Linked DNA regions of Arabidopsis thaliana. The protein of the gene in region 1 interacts with the protein of each later gene in a pairwise test. Each region holds a gene or a part of one and is shown on either strand. Other genes may lie near its edges.

Region 1 (3,262 bases):
TTACAAGAAGTTGAAGAACAGAGAAGACGTTGAATGGGTTTGAGTCTTTTTTACAAGCAAGAAACTTGCTTCATGGATATCGTAAGTTTTCTTTTACTTTTTTTTTTTTTTTTCGTTTCTTTATTTAGTTTTGTGTGATTGTAGGATTTGTGGTAAAATTTTATCCATTTTGAAGGAGTAAAGAAGAAAGGAACAATTGTTTTGTTTTTTCAGTGATTTTATTTATTTTTATTTTGTGGTGTATTTATTCAGAGACAAAGAGGAGTTCCAATTTGTAAAAAAATATTTTTTCCTTATATTAAGAAATGATTTGTGATTGAGAGAGATATTTTTTTTTGGGGGTCAATGATTGGCCGAGATTGTAGATTAAAAAACATTTTAAATGGATATTCGCACGTTAGCTAATACAGTAATAAAAAATTTGTACAAAGATAGAGAATTTTTGTGGGTCTTAGCTTATTGGATTGCGATATTGTAAAGTAAAAGTTTTGAAAAATGGAAGATCTGCATTTAGTCCACCGAGGATCATATGCATAGTCGATATTGACACAAGAGTGAAATTTGATTGGAGGAAAGAGGATATGTACCAAGCCACTATTTACCTTTTTTTTACGTCAGGCTCTTGAGATGATCTTCTTAGTTTTGATGTCTTTTTGCAAATTGCAGTGACGTTTTCTAAATTGGTACACTAAGTTTAAAAATGCTGTCCTTTGGATAACTCCAACGGATGATATGAACTAAAACAATGCTGTCCTTTCATATTATGTAAGAAAACACTCACTCGGTTAACTATGAGCAACCCACTACAAGTAAGTATTGTAAAAACGTTTTTTTCTTTCAAATTCCAAGTATTTTTTAAATTTTGTAATAGAAAATAATGATTTGGGTTTTGTAAGTTAGTATTAGGATTTAGATTTTTTTAAATAGTAACGAAAGTGTTTGATAAAAAAGTAAATAGTAACGAAAGTAACCTAAATTGACATTTCCATTACCCTTGAGATGATCAAAATAAACACAATTTCTGCATGATTATGAGTTTATGACTATGCTTATTAGCAATGATTTGTTCTTTCTATAATTTAAAACCAGTTGAAACTAAAATTGTTTTTGTAAAATTTAATAGATGATATTATTAGTATACAAAACTTTTGTCAACAATGAATTGTGTGATAAGAGTTTTTTTGGAGATTTTCTTATGTAATAAAGTCTATCTTGTATGACTACAATTGATCATGGGATTCGTGGCTAATATTTTTTGTAATTATATCTTTTGAGTCAAATTCCATACTCATTTTAATATATGCAATCGAATGTATCTACTAATAATTTGTTCTTATTTAATTTGATTCTGTTGACTCTGTTCCAAAACAACTTTCGGCTATTGGATGTGTCCACGCGAAATGTAATATAATAATGATCAAGTCTTCAAAATGGCACACCTTAATTTCTTTTTGCAAATTATAAAAATTCTTTATATGGTGATCCTACGTATCTATCTAATTATCTCCCAAAACTATGGGCAAGAGTCATTATTAAAATCGACCCTTGGTCTTTTGAGATGCTCAAGAGTTTTAATTTCTAAAATATTAAGCCTTCACTAACATGATTAGAAAAAAATAAAAAGTTAAAAACATGATTAGAAATTTAGAATATTTTAATAAGTACAATGTGGAAATCTAGTGTAAACTTTCCTCGAACATTCCCCATAGATTTATATAAATAGCTAGTGAGAATTTGTTCATGCACATATTCATCACAAAGGAACTCACTGCTCTTAAATTTGCTCTAATTGTTATTACCTTGGTAAATAATATATTCTTGGTTCGATTCGAAATTTTCAAGCAAATGGGTATCGTTGAAAACATTCGTTCCCTTAAATTTGAAGTGAAAATCGTGGAAGCTAGAAACGTAGAGCTCAAGTCATCGCCAACCACTCTCTTCGTTAGGTTCTATCTCCATGCAGGGAATAACAGTAAGATTGAACTAAACACTCCAGAGATCCGTTCGAGATCAGACTGTGAGGTCATTTCCTGGAACCAATCATTCGGTCTGGAGTGCCAAGGGAACGAAACCGCGGTCGAGGAATTGAAGCAACAAAGTGTTGTTTTCGAACTACGGAGAAGGAAAACGACGCCGTTTTTGAAGAAGTGGTCGAAATCAGAGTTGGTGGGTAGAGGAAAGATTTTTTGGAAATCGGTTATAGAGACTGATGGGATGGAAATAGAGAGATTTGTAGTGATGGATGAGACAAAAGATCACGTTCTGGAAGATTGTGATAAGCATAAACCTCTTTTGTTGAAGATAGCTTTAAAAGTGCAAGCTTCAAAAATCGTGAACACTAAGAGAGTGGAAGATCTTTGTGAGTGTAAAGATTGTAGAACATGTAACTGCGTAGATTATGAAGCTTTTGTTGTAGCTTGTGCGTTAGCTGGGATTTAGTTTGTAAGAATAAAATTTAAAGAAGAGATGATTCAAAGAAACCAGAATAAGTTGTTGCAGTAAAATGTAAAAACTAAGGACCAAAGTTCAAAGAAAATGAAAAACAAATAACAACTGTCTTATAAAAGACTATGAAACGATGATGTTGTTTCAAGCATGGTCATGTCCAAGAAGGGCGAGAAGCATATCCTTGTAGTCACCAGAAGTGTCATTAGCAATGGCTCGATCAAGAGGAACACTGTTCCTGCGTAAGTATTCTTCTTTGATCCGCTCCAGGTCGACCTCTGCTCTTGTAGTGACCACTCTAGTAAGTGCCCACTCGTCTGTTCCCATCCTGTTGATGGCTCGACGTAGAACCTTCTCAAAGTACTTCTCTGGATATGTCAAGCATTTGATCGCGGTTTTGAGTAATTGAACATAATCATCGTTCGAATCTTCTTTGAGAAACTTGTTAATGGAACTTCCAAACTTGTCCTTGAAGTGATTGAGTGTTGCATTGATCTGTGCTTTGCTCCTTGTTGTCAAGATTCTGATGAGATCTTCATCAGTGTAAGCCTTCTCAGTGATCTTCTTGTGAAGTGTCTTAGCTTCGGATCTAGCCAGCTTCACGTTGACCTCATCAGCATTTCCATCGTACCTGAAGGTGCTCACAAGAGGAACCAATAGCTGCATTTTTACAAGTGGTCAAAACAAAACAACATATCATCAGAAACTTACTAATTGGTTTAAAGAATGATATACATAAATCTTTCACTACCTTTCGGATATTTCCAGATGTATGGTATGCAACATCTTCCTCGAGAGAGGTCTTGTAGCGAACATG
Region 2 (4,221 bases), on another chromosome or scaffold:
AGTGGGTTTTTAAAACAAAAAAATTTGAAAAAGGGAAAAACTGAATCTACATGAGAATAACTGTTGCTGGATAAGCTTAAAGGAAGAGAAAACATTTTTAATCATTGTTTGCATATGCCATTGGCTTCACATCCGGGTAAGGATGTATAATCAACAATATCAGAAAATTAGAAGAGTTTTAGAGAGAAGCCAAGAAACTCTTATATGAGTATGGTTCGAAGAATGGAATTGGTGAACCAAGTCGTCGATGATTTGGCTCTTCTCTCCCGATTTCATGTTCGATACACCGGAGATCAAATCGATTCGAATCGCCGGCCGTCGGACAAAACAAAAAAGTGAAAAACGAGAGGAAAAAGGAAAACATGAGTGTTGTGATTTTTTTTGTTTTCCGACGACTCACAGTCGACCACGTCGCCGTCTAAAAACCCATCCAAAAAACCTAATATTGGGATGGATCCTAATTATTTAGTTGGGTTTTCATTTAATTTTGGACTTTTAATTAGCTAGAAACCCATTAGAAACCCATTAAAAACTGCCGATGGACTTGCTCTAAGAAGTCTTCAACGGTTTTCTAAAATCTAGGATCAGAGTAAGCACGTTGCATTTCCATTTTTTTACACTCTCTCTCGTGATAAAAAAAATTACAGAATCACTTGCAATGTGTGGGAAACAAAAAAAAAGAACTTCAAAACAAAAACCGGACTATCGTTCCTCAGCCTCACGGTCGTGAAACGATAGTCGGAAAACCCAGTTAGAGACATTTGACATCGTCTTCTTCCTCGAACCGTTTAGTCTTTCGCTTTTACTCTTTTGGCATCTTCTACTTGAGTTTTCATCATCAACCAACATCTTCAATCTCTTTAAAGCAAGCTTTAATGTCTCATCAATCATGTTCGCGAAACAAACTCTAAACCAACCCGGTTCTTCACAATGGCACGACGAACCAGGAGAGATGTTGAGCTTCACTTCGTAAACAATCTTCTTCCAAAGATCCATTTCCGCTTCGAACGTTTTAGATCTAAGGAGAGGTCTCATGTCGACCCAACAAAAGAGTCCCGCATTACTCTTCAGACATTTGATCCCGATGGCCTCTAGACCCAACACGAGCTTTCTCTGTCTGTTCTTGAGCCGTTTTTGGTTCTCTCTAAGGTAGTTCTTAGTGAACTTCTTGTCAGATAATAATGAGGATAGTAGGTATTGTGTCTGGGAGGAGACAAGGCCGAAACTTGACATTTTTGTAGCGGCAGAGATGACATCTTTGTCATTGGAGTAAATGGCTCCAACTCTAAAACCAGGGAGGCCTAGATCTTTAGATAAGCTACAAACAATGTGGACTCGGTTCAAAACATCGGTGTTTTCGAGTTGATTATTTTTTAGAATCTCCATGACGCTGATGAATTCTGAAGAGTTGAATACTGTGCCCGAATATATCTCGTCACTTACTAAATGTATATTCTTATTCTTGGTGATGAAATCAAATAGAATGTTGAGTTCGGTTTGGGTTGTTGTCGTACCCAAAGGGTTAGATGGGTTGGTGATGAGTATTCCTTTGACGTTTAGGTCAAGCTTCTTGGCTTGCTCGTAGGCTTCTTCGAGTGCAAGTTTCGTTATGCGAAACCCGTTAGTACTTGAGCTTTGGATTGGTACAATCTCAACCCCGGTTCGCCATTTTAGATCCCTATCAAACCTGAAGTACAAAAATAAACATGAGTTTTAGTTAAGTCAAGTTCGTAGGAATGATGGAAATTTTACGTGTAAGCAAACAGTGGACTAACCCTGGATAATATGGCGTGGGAAGCAAGAAAGCGTCACCGGGATCTGCAAGACAAAACATTAGAGTCTCGTTTGCGGAAGTGGCTCCAGCAGTGAGCACAAGGTTGTTTGAATCAAAAGAAACTCGATTTCCTCTATTTTCTGACATGAAATCAGCAAAGGCCTGAAAATCATTCGAGCAAGATCAGCAACCTACAAATAAATTTGATAAATACAATTAATAATCTTACATTTTTGAAGGAAGAGAGGCCATGGTAGTCTTGAAAGAGAGCGAGTTCCCGGAAAACAGACTGGCCATCTCTCTTGAAACAGGCTGCGTCTGTGTTTTGTGCAAGCCATGACTCTAGTAGATCAAAGCATAGCTACAGAAATCCAATAAAATTAAACATACTTTAAATTAGTCTCTCTGTCATGATATACATAAGTATATATATATCACATGCTGTTGAATAATATTTGTTTACCTGATTTTCCGCAAGACCCATCTGGATAATGCCTTGAGGGTTCTTGGTAACGTCGTAAGGATTCTTCTCGTACTCTTCCCAACCAAGGAAATACGAAGAGACTTGGCCATGGCTGTTGCATGTAGCTTTTCTTGACAATTGAACCATTTCTTTTGTTCTTGTTTTTTTTTTTTTAATAAAAGGCTCAACAATAAATTGAAAACTCTAGAACTAGAGAAAGAGTTGTCAGACAGGCTGAGAGAGATCGAGCGCGTTGTTGTTGATAAGCTACGAGAAGTCTAAGAATGAATGCATGTTTATTATATAGTTTCATGCTACGCCAAAATACACAAAGGACGGGGATTCTAATTATTTTCATTATCCGATTTACCAACATGGGTTTTCTTTTGATTGTTTTTTGTTTTAGTGATTTATTTTTATTTTTTTTTGGGCAAAAAGTTTTAGTGATTCTAAAATTTAGATATAAACCGAGTTTATTTTGCCAATAAATAGCATTTTAATTAATCTATTAAATTCAAGTATGAATTACGAGTTTCATTTTCTTAATGTTTTGACATATGAATTAATTAGATCAAATTAGTATAGGAAAAAAGTGGAAGCGATGGAGAAATGAGGACGCTATACCGACAGGAAATCTCCATGTAAAATAGCTGCTTGTATACAAATATTAAATAATGTGACCCACAGAAAAAAAAAGTATACACAGAAAAGAAAAAGCGAAACATGTCAATGTTTCAACTTGGGGACTATTTTGGAGGGTGTATCATGTTGGTCCACGTTTCTCCCCCGATGCTAACCCTCTTTTGTATTCTATGTCGGCTAATTTTTTCAACGTTTTAAAACTTTTTACTGTTATTAAATATAACACAAACATAAATAATATTATTTATTATATGTAATGATCTTACGAAGAAGTAAGTAAGAGATAAAAGAGAGAGTGGAAGTGGACGAGAGAACAATATAACACTTCACTCTTCATTACTCTCTCTCGTACGCTTTACAACATCGGACTCACATATATATAGAAGATTATATGATAGGATAAGATAGAAATAGGATAGACTACACTTAGATTTTGGAAGCAAATCACTTAGAGACAAAGTAATTAAATTGGATAAAGAGATAAGATCAAAGTGATAGATTATCACTTGAATAATTATCCATTTATAACATCTACAAAATTTTCCATACGTTTTATTACTTTTTCTTGTCCCCATATGATGTTTTTGGTAGTTAAACTAGATTATAATTCATATTTAAGTAAATAGCTAGTTTCAAACGGGTAAATATTAAGTTAAAACTCACATCCTCTATGATATCAATGGCTATATAATATGAGGGAAGATTTGAAAAGTAACAGAAATACATATACTACGACAATGCTTACTTTGATATGATCATTTTCAAAGCTTAACAACACCAAGTGAGTGCTCACAGTTAAGACAAACATGTCATTTACGAGGTATGCTTTCCGCTAATTAACATATGTTTTTTGTGGCTTAAATATGAACAATTAATTACTACTATAATCTACAACTCCTTAATGCATTTCCAATATAAATATGGCTGTAAAGATGTTCACACAAACTAAAGAAAAATTTCTAATACACGCCTAAATAATAAAGTGTCGTTGTTACAAAACATTCTTTTATTTATAAACGGTATTCAAAAATAAATTCAGAATTTTTATAAAATAAGTCCAGATATTTTACCTCCCAAACAATAAATTGGCTTTTGGACTTCCAACATATTACTTGTTTATTGATTATAAGAAGGAACAAACTATATATTTCTAATCAAAGCGATATTGGAATCCTAAAACGATAAATATTTCAAAACAAAAATTTATTCAAAAATGATAATATTTATTGTGAAACATATTAATCATTACATAAACATTAAGTTTCATCGACCGAATATTTTTCGGTAGTTAGCCGTCCCGACTTTTCGGATATTTTGTCCGACATCACCGGCTCCAGTAGTG
Region 3 (4,328 bases), on another chromosome or scaffold:
AATATTTAAAAAAAGTTTAAAAATATATCGCAGACATTTAAATTATGTTACACTCATTATAACAATTATGTATCGCATACATCTAGATTTTTAAATCATTAGTTCAATAACACTGAATTTCATTAGAGTTTTTAAAATCCGTGATTGAATAACATCGGATTTGTAAATTTTACACAAATAACTTAAAATACTAGATTGAATACATCCCTCTTAATGTTTTTATTTTCTTTTCAAGATTTATCCAGTAGATGTTAAGGGAGCAGCGGGAACAATGTGTAACTTGGTCAGCTCTATAAGCGCATGGCTTGTTGCTTATTCCTTCAGTTACTTGCTTCAATGGAGCTCCACAGGTAAAAATCTTTAATACAATTGAACTAAAGTTGACAAAAAGTTGATTTGGTTACAATTTCTGAATTTTGAAAAGAGAGTTGTTAACTAAAAGTCTTTGTTGCAGGAACATTTCTGATGTTTGCCACAGTGGCTGGCCTTGGATTTGTGTTCATAGCCAAGCTTGTTCCAGAGACCAAAGGCAAATCTCTAGAAGAGATTCAATCTCTTTTCACTGATTCTCCTCCTCAAGATTCTACAATTTTCTAAACTTCTCCCACAACTGTATAAGATAGAAGTATGTAAACAAAAAAAGTTTATTGCAATATAGTTTTTACGTGATTCACAAATATTAACAAACACCTTTCACAAGATTCACATGAAACTACCAAAACATTACAAAATAATACAAAGTTTTACTCAGAAGAAAAGCTTTATTGAGAAGAAGCACAAAGACCACCCCTTTTTTTTTGCTGTTCTGTAATTATGAGTTTTGTTTTAACCCACTGATCCTTCAAGCTTGATGCTCATAAGCTGGTTAACTTCAGCTCCAAACTCATCAGGTAACTTGTTGAAAACATCTCTGCAGAAACCAGAGATCATTGCCGCTAATGCTCTCTCGTGATCGATTCCTCTCTGCTGGAAATAGAATAGCTGATCTTCTCCAATCTTAGAGGTACTCGCTTCGTGCTCTACTTTCGCCGATGGATTCTTTACCTGTTATTGTTCCAGACCAACCACAAAACAAAAGTGGAAATCAATCACAAAAGAGCAAAAAACTTTACAGCTTTCTCATAGCTTATAATAAAGATTGGATCATTGGCAATTTACCTGGATGTAAGGATAGGTATTTGCAGCTGCTTTGTCTCCGATAAGCATTGAGTCGCAAGTCGAAGTATTTTTAGCACCCTCAGCTTTGGACTGCACCTGAACAAGACCACGGTAACAATTTCTCGAATGCCCGGCCGAAATTCCCTTTGAAATGATTCTACTTTTGGTATTCTTTCCTTTGTGAATCATCTTAGTCCCTGTATCAGCTTGCTGATAGTTATTAGTCAATGCCACGGAGTAAAACTCGCCAACAGAATCATCGCCTTCTAAAACCACGCTCGGGTACTTCCAAGTTATCGCAGACCCTGTCTCAACCTGAGTCCACGAGATCTTGGAACGATCCCCAGCGCAAAGACCACGCTTTGTGACAAAATTATAAATCCCACCTTTACCTTGTTCATCCCCAGCATACCAATTCTGCACCGTGGAGTACTTAATCTCAGCTCCTTTCCCACAATAGAGCTCAACCACAGCAGCATGAAGCTGATTCGTATCATAAGAAGGAGCAGTACATCCTTCTAAATACTCAACAAAACTCCCTTCCTCAGCAACAATCAAAGTCCTCTCGAACTGACCAGTCTCCATCGCGTTAATCCGGAAATAAGTCGAAATAGGCATCGGACATCTAGTGTTCTTCGGTATATAACAGAAAGACCCATCGCTGAAAACCGCAGAGTTCAAAGCAGCGTAGTAATTATCATCACTAGGCACAACTCTACCTAAATACTTCTTAATCAAATCCGGATACTCCCTAATAGCTTCAGATATCGAACAGAAGATAACACCAGACTTCTCTAAAGTCTTCCTATGAGTAGTAGCAATCGAAACACTATCGATAACCGCATCAACCGCGACATTAGCCAAACGTTTCTGCTCTGTTAAAGGAACACCTAACTTATCGAAATACTCAAGAAGCTGAGGATCAACTTCATCTAAACTATTCAAAGTTGGTTTCTTTTTAGGAGCAGAGTAATAACACATATCCTGGAAATTAATCGAAGGATATCTATTATCTGACCATTTAGGTTCTTCTAGTTTCAGAAACTTAGCATAAGCTTTGAACCTAAACTCAAGCATCCAATCTGGTTCCTCTTTCAATTTCGAAATCAAACGAATCGTCTCTTCAGATAAACCTTTAGGGATTGTGAAGGAATCGATATCTTCAACGAATCCGTACTTCTTATCGTAATCGAGATTTTGGAAATACTGTTGAAGTTTATCAGTTGAGCTAACGGTTGATGTACCTGATGATGATGATTCAGAAGCTCCGATGGGACGAGAATCGATTCCAACATCGGCTCTGAGTTTGAAGATCGGTCTCGTTGGATTTAGGGATTTGGGAGATGGGAATTTTAAGGATTCGGGTTTTGGGTGAAACCCTTTTGGTGATTTTGAGGAATCGGAAGTGGGTTGTGGAGAGAAGCTGGAGATACCGTTTGCGAGAAGAGACGCCATTGTTGTTGGTGTGGCTCTTAGGAGAAGTAAAAGAAGATTGTTTTTTTTTTTTTTTTTGGAGTCGTGTGTTAGAAAAAAAACAACGATTAGGAAAAAAATGAAGAAGAGATGAAATGTTAATATTTATGGAATTTTCTGAGCCGTAGATTGAAGATAGTCTCGTGTCAGCCACGAGACGATTTTTTTGTTGGATTTTCACTTTTCAGCTCAATTATAAACCACATACGTTTTCCACTAACTAATTATAAAAAAAAAATAACGTTGATCTCTTCTTTATTTGTTAAAAATCTCTTTTAGATATTAGATATTTTTTATACTTGGACAAAACAAACAAAGATATTAGATATTTTATAATCCGATTTACGGGTTGGTTTCTTGTTTTTGTTAATGAAAAAAAAAATTAGTTTGATCTTTTATTTCAAAAACTTAATAATATTTTATTTTAAAATTTGTTGGTTCATTCATTTCAGTTTAGTTTGGTACACTGAAATCAGTTTTAATTCTTTTTTTTTCTCATCTGAATTATATTAGAAACTAAAGTAGAATACAAGTTGAAATACATAAGCCAACAGACCAACGGAATATTTTGAGAAACTTAGCTGAAAAAAAGGAAGTAAAACCAAAAACATATATAAGGAAACATTTTAAACCAACGAAATTGAATCAAGAGACAAAATTCAAAAGAAAATAAAAAACTATGGGAAAAATAAGACCTAAACTTCTCCTAAAAAATGTGAACGCCGGAAACACCAATAAGATCGGATAGATTTTACACCGAAGTCAAAACTAATAGTAAATCGACAGAGAGGAAAGCAAGAAGCCGCTGAAACCAGAGACATAAGTACAAACACCATCACACCTCACCCACCAGACCGAGATAGCAAAATGTACTAGGGACAAGGCATAAACCTTGAAGATCTACTAGAGATAATTAAAGCACTAGACACAATCAGTATCGATTCTACTTGGGTTAGCTGATTTTCGAGCCATAAACTATTTCGATTCTCAGCTTTCACCCCCGGACTTTTGGGCCCTTAAATTTCCACCATCAACTTTCATATTCCCAAAATTACATCATCTACTTTCGGATTCATGCTTAAACATACATTTCCAATTGAACCATTCATTTAACCGGGATTAACCACAAATCCGCGTTTACTGTACCGCGATTGCGATTAACCCGACTAATACCCAGACCCGTTAAGAAAACGACGTCGTTTTCATTTCGTTTAACTCATCAAAAAGAGAAAGAAAACGACGTCGTTTTCATTCTTCTTCTTCTGCAAAATCGATTTGGTCGATTAGGGTTCTTCATTCGACAATTTTATAAGAAAATGAGCACCAACAGCTACTACTCATCCGCTTCCAGTTCAGGATTTCGTGTCTGTCCTCCTGGTGTCCCCTCGAAATGTTGGTGTGGAGAAGAGATCATTACATTCACATCGAAAACAAAGGAGAATCCATACCGGAGATTCTACCGTTGTGCGATAGCAATGAAGGTACACATTTCGATTTTGTGATATATTTGATTGATTGAAGGAGTAAATGATTGGAAATTATGTTTTATAGAGAGAAAATGAAGAGCACTTGTTCAAATGGGTTGATGAAGCTCTCTTGGACGAAATTAAGATGGTAAATGAGAAGTGTAAGAGAGTTGTAGAGAATATTAGTGACCTCAGAATGAACGTGATGGCTAATATGGAGCTCCTTAATAA

Evidence for each region. The genes of interacting proteins can lie anywhere in the genome.
Region 2: the proteins of AT5G10210 (region 1) and ACS4 interact in a two-hybrid assay, tested with the Arabidopsis thaliana proteins (one large-scale study listed by BioGRID).
Region 3: the proteins of AT5G10210 (region 1) and ABCI8 interact in a two-hybrid assay, tested with the Arabidopsis thaliana proteins (one large-scale study listed by BioGRID).

The regions. Positions count from the first base shown.
Region 1 is NC_003076.8:3,204,391-3,207,652, forward strand, and holds AT5G10210 (nitric oxide synthase-interacting protein), read left to right. Parts: upstream 1-1,749; 5' UTR 1,750-1,845; coding exon 1,846-2,439; 3' UTR 2,440-2,589; downstream 2,590-3,262. Other genes in the region: ANN6 (annexin 6), read right to left, coding at 2,590-3,105, 3,197-3,262.
Region 2 is NC_003071.7:9,717,089-9,721,309, forward strand, and holds ACS4 (1-aminocyclopropane-1-carboxylate synthase 4), read right to left. Parts: upstream 2,507-4,221; 5' UTR 2,385-2,506; coding exon 2,238-2,384; intron 2,136-2,237; coding exon 2,004-2,135; intron 1,937-2,003; coding exon 1,776-1,936; intron 1,688-1,775; coding exon 703-1,687; 3' UTR 514-702; downstream 1-513. Other genes in the region: AT2G22820 (uncharacterized protein), read right to left, coding at 4,143-4,221. UniProt on the Arabidopsis thaliana protein: 1-aminocyclopropane-1-carboxylate synthase (ACS) enzymes catalyze the conversion of S-adenosyl-L-methionine (SAM) into 1-aminocyclopropane-1-carboxylate (ACC), a direct precursor of ethylene.
Region 3 is NC_003075.7:2,427,173-2,431,500, forward strand, and holds ABCI8 (ATP binding cassette protein 1), read right to left. Parts: upstream 2,728-4,328; 5' UTR 2,614-2,727; coding exon 1,159-2,613; intron 1,045-1,158; coding exon 826-1,044; 3' UTR 598-825; downstream 1-597. Other genes in the region: AT4G04760 (Major facilitator superfamily protein), read left to right, coding at 236-350, 455-597; AT4G04775 (zinc ion binding protein), read left to right, coding at 3,948-4,112, 4,183-4,328. UniProt on the Arabidopsis thaliana protein: Involved in light signaling, probably by mediating the transport and correct distribution of protoporphyrin IX, a chlorophyll precursor, in response to far-red light.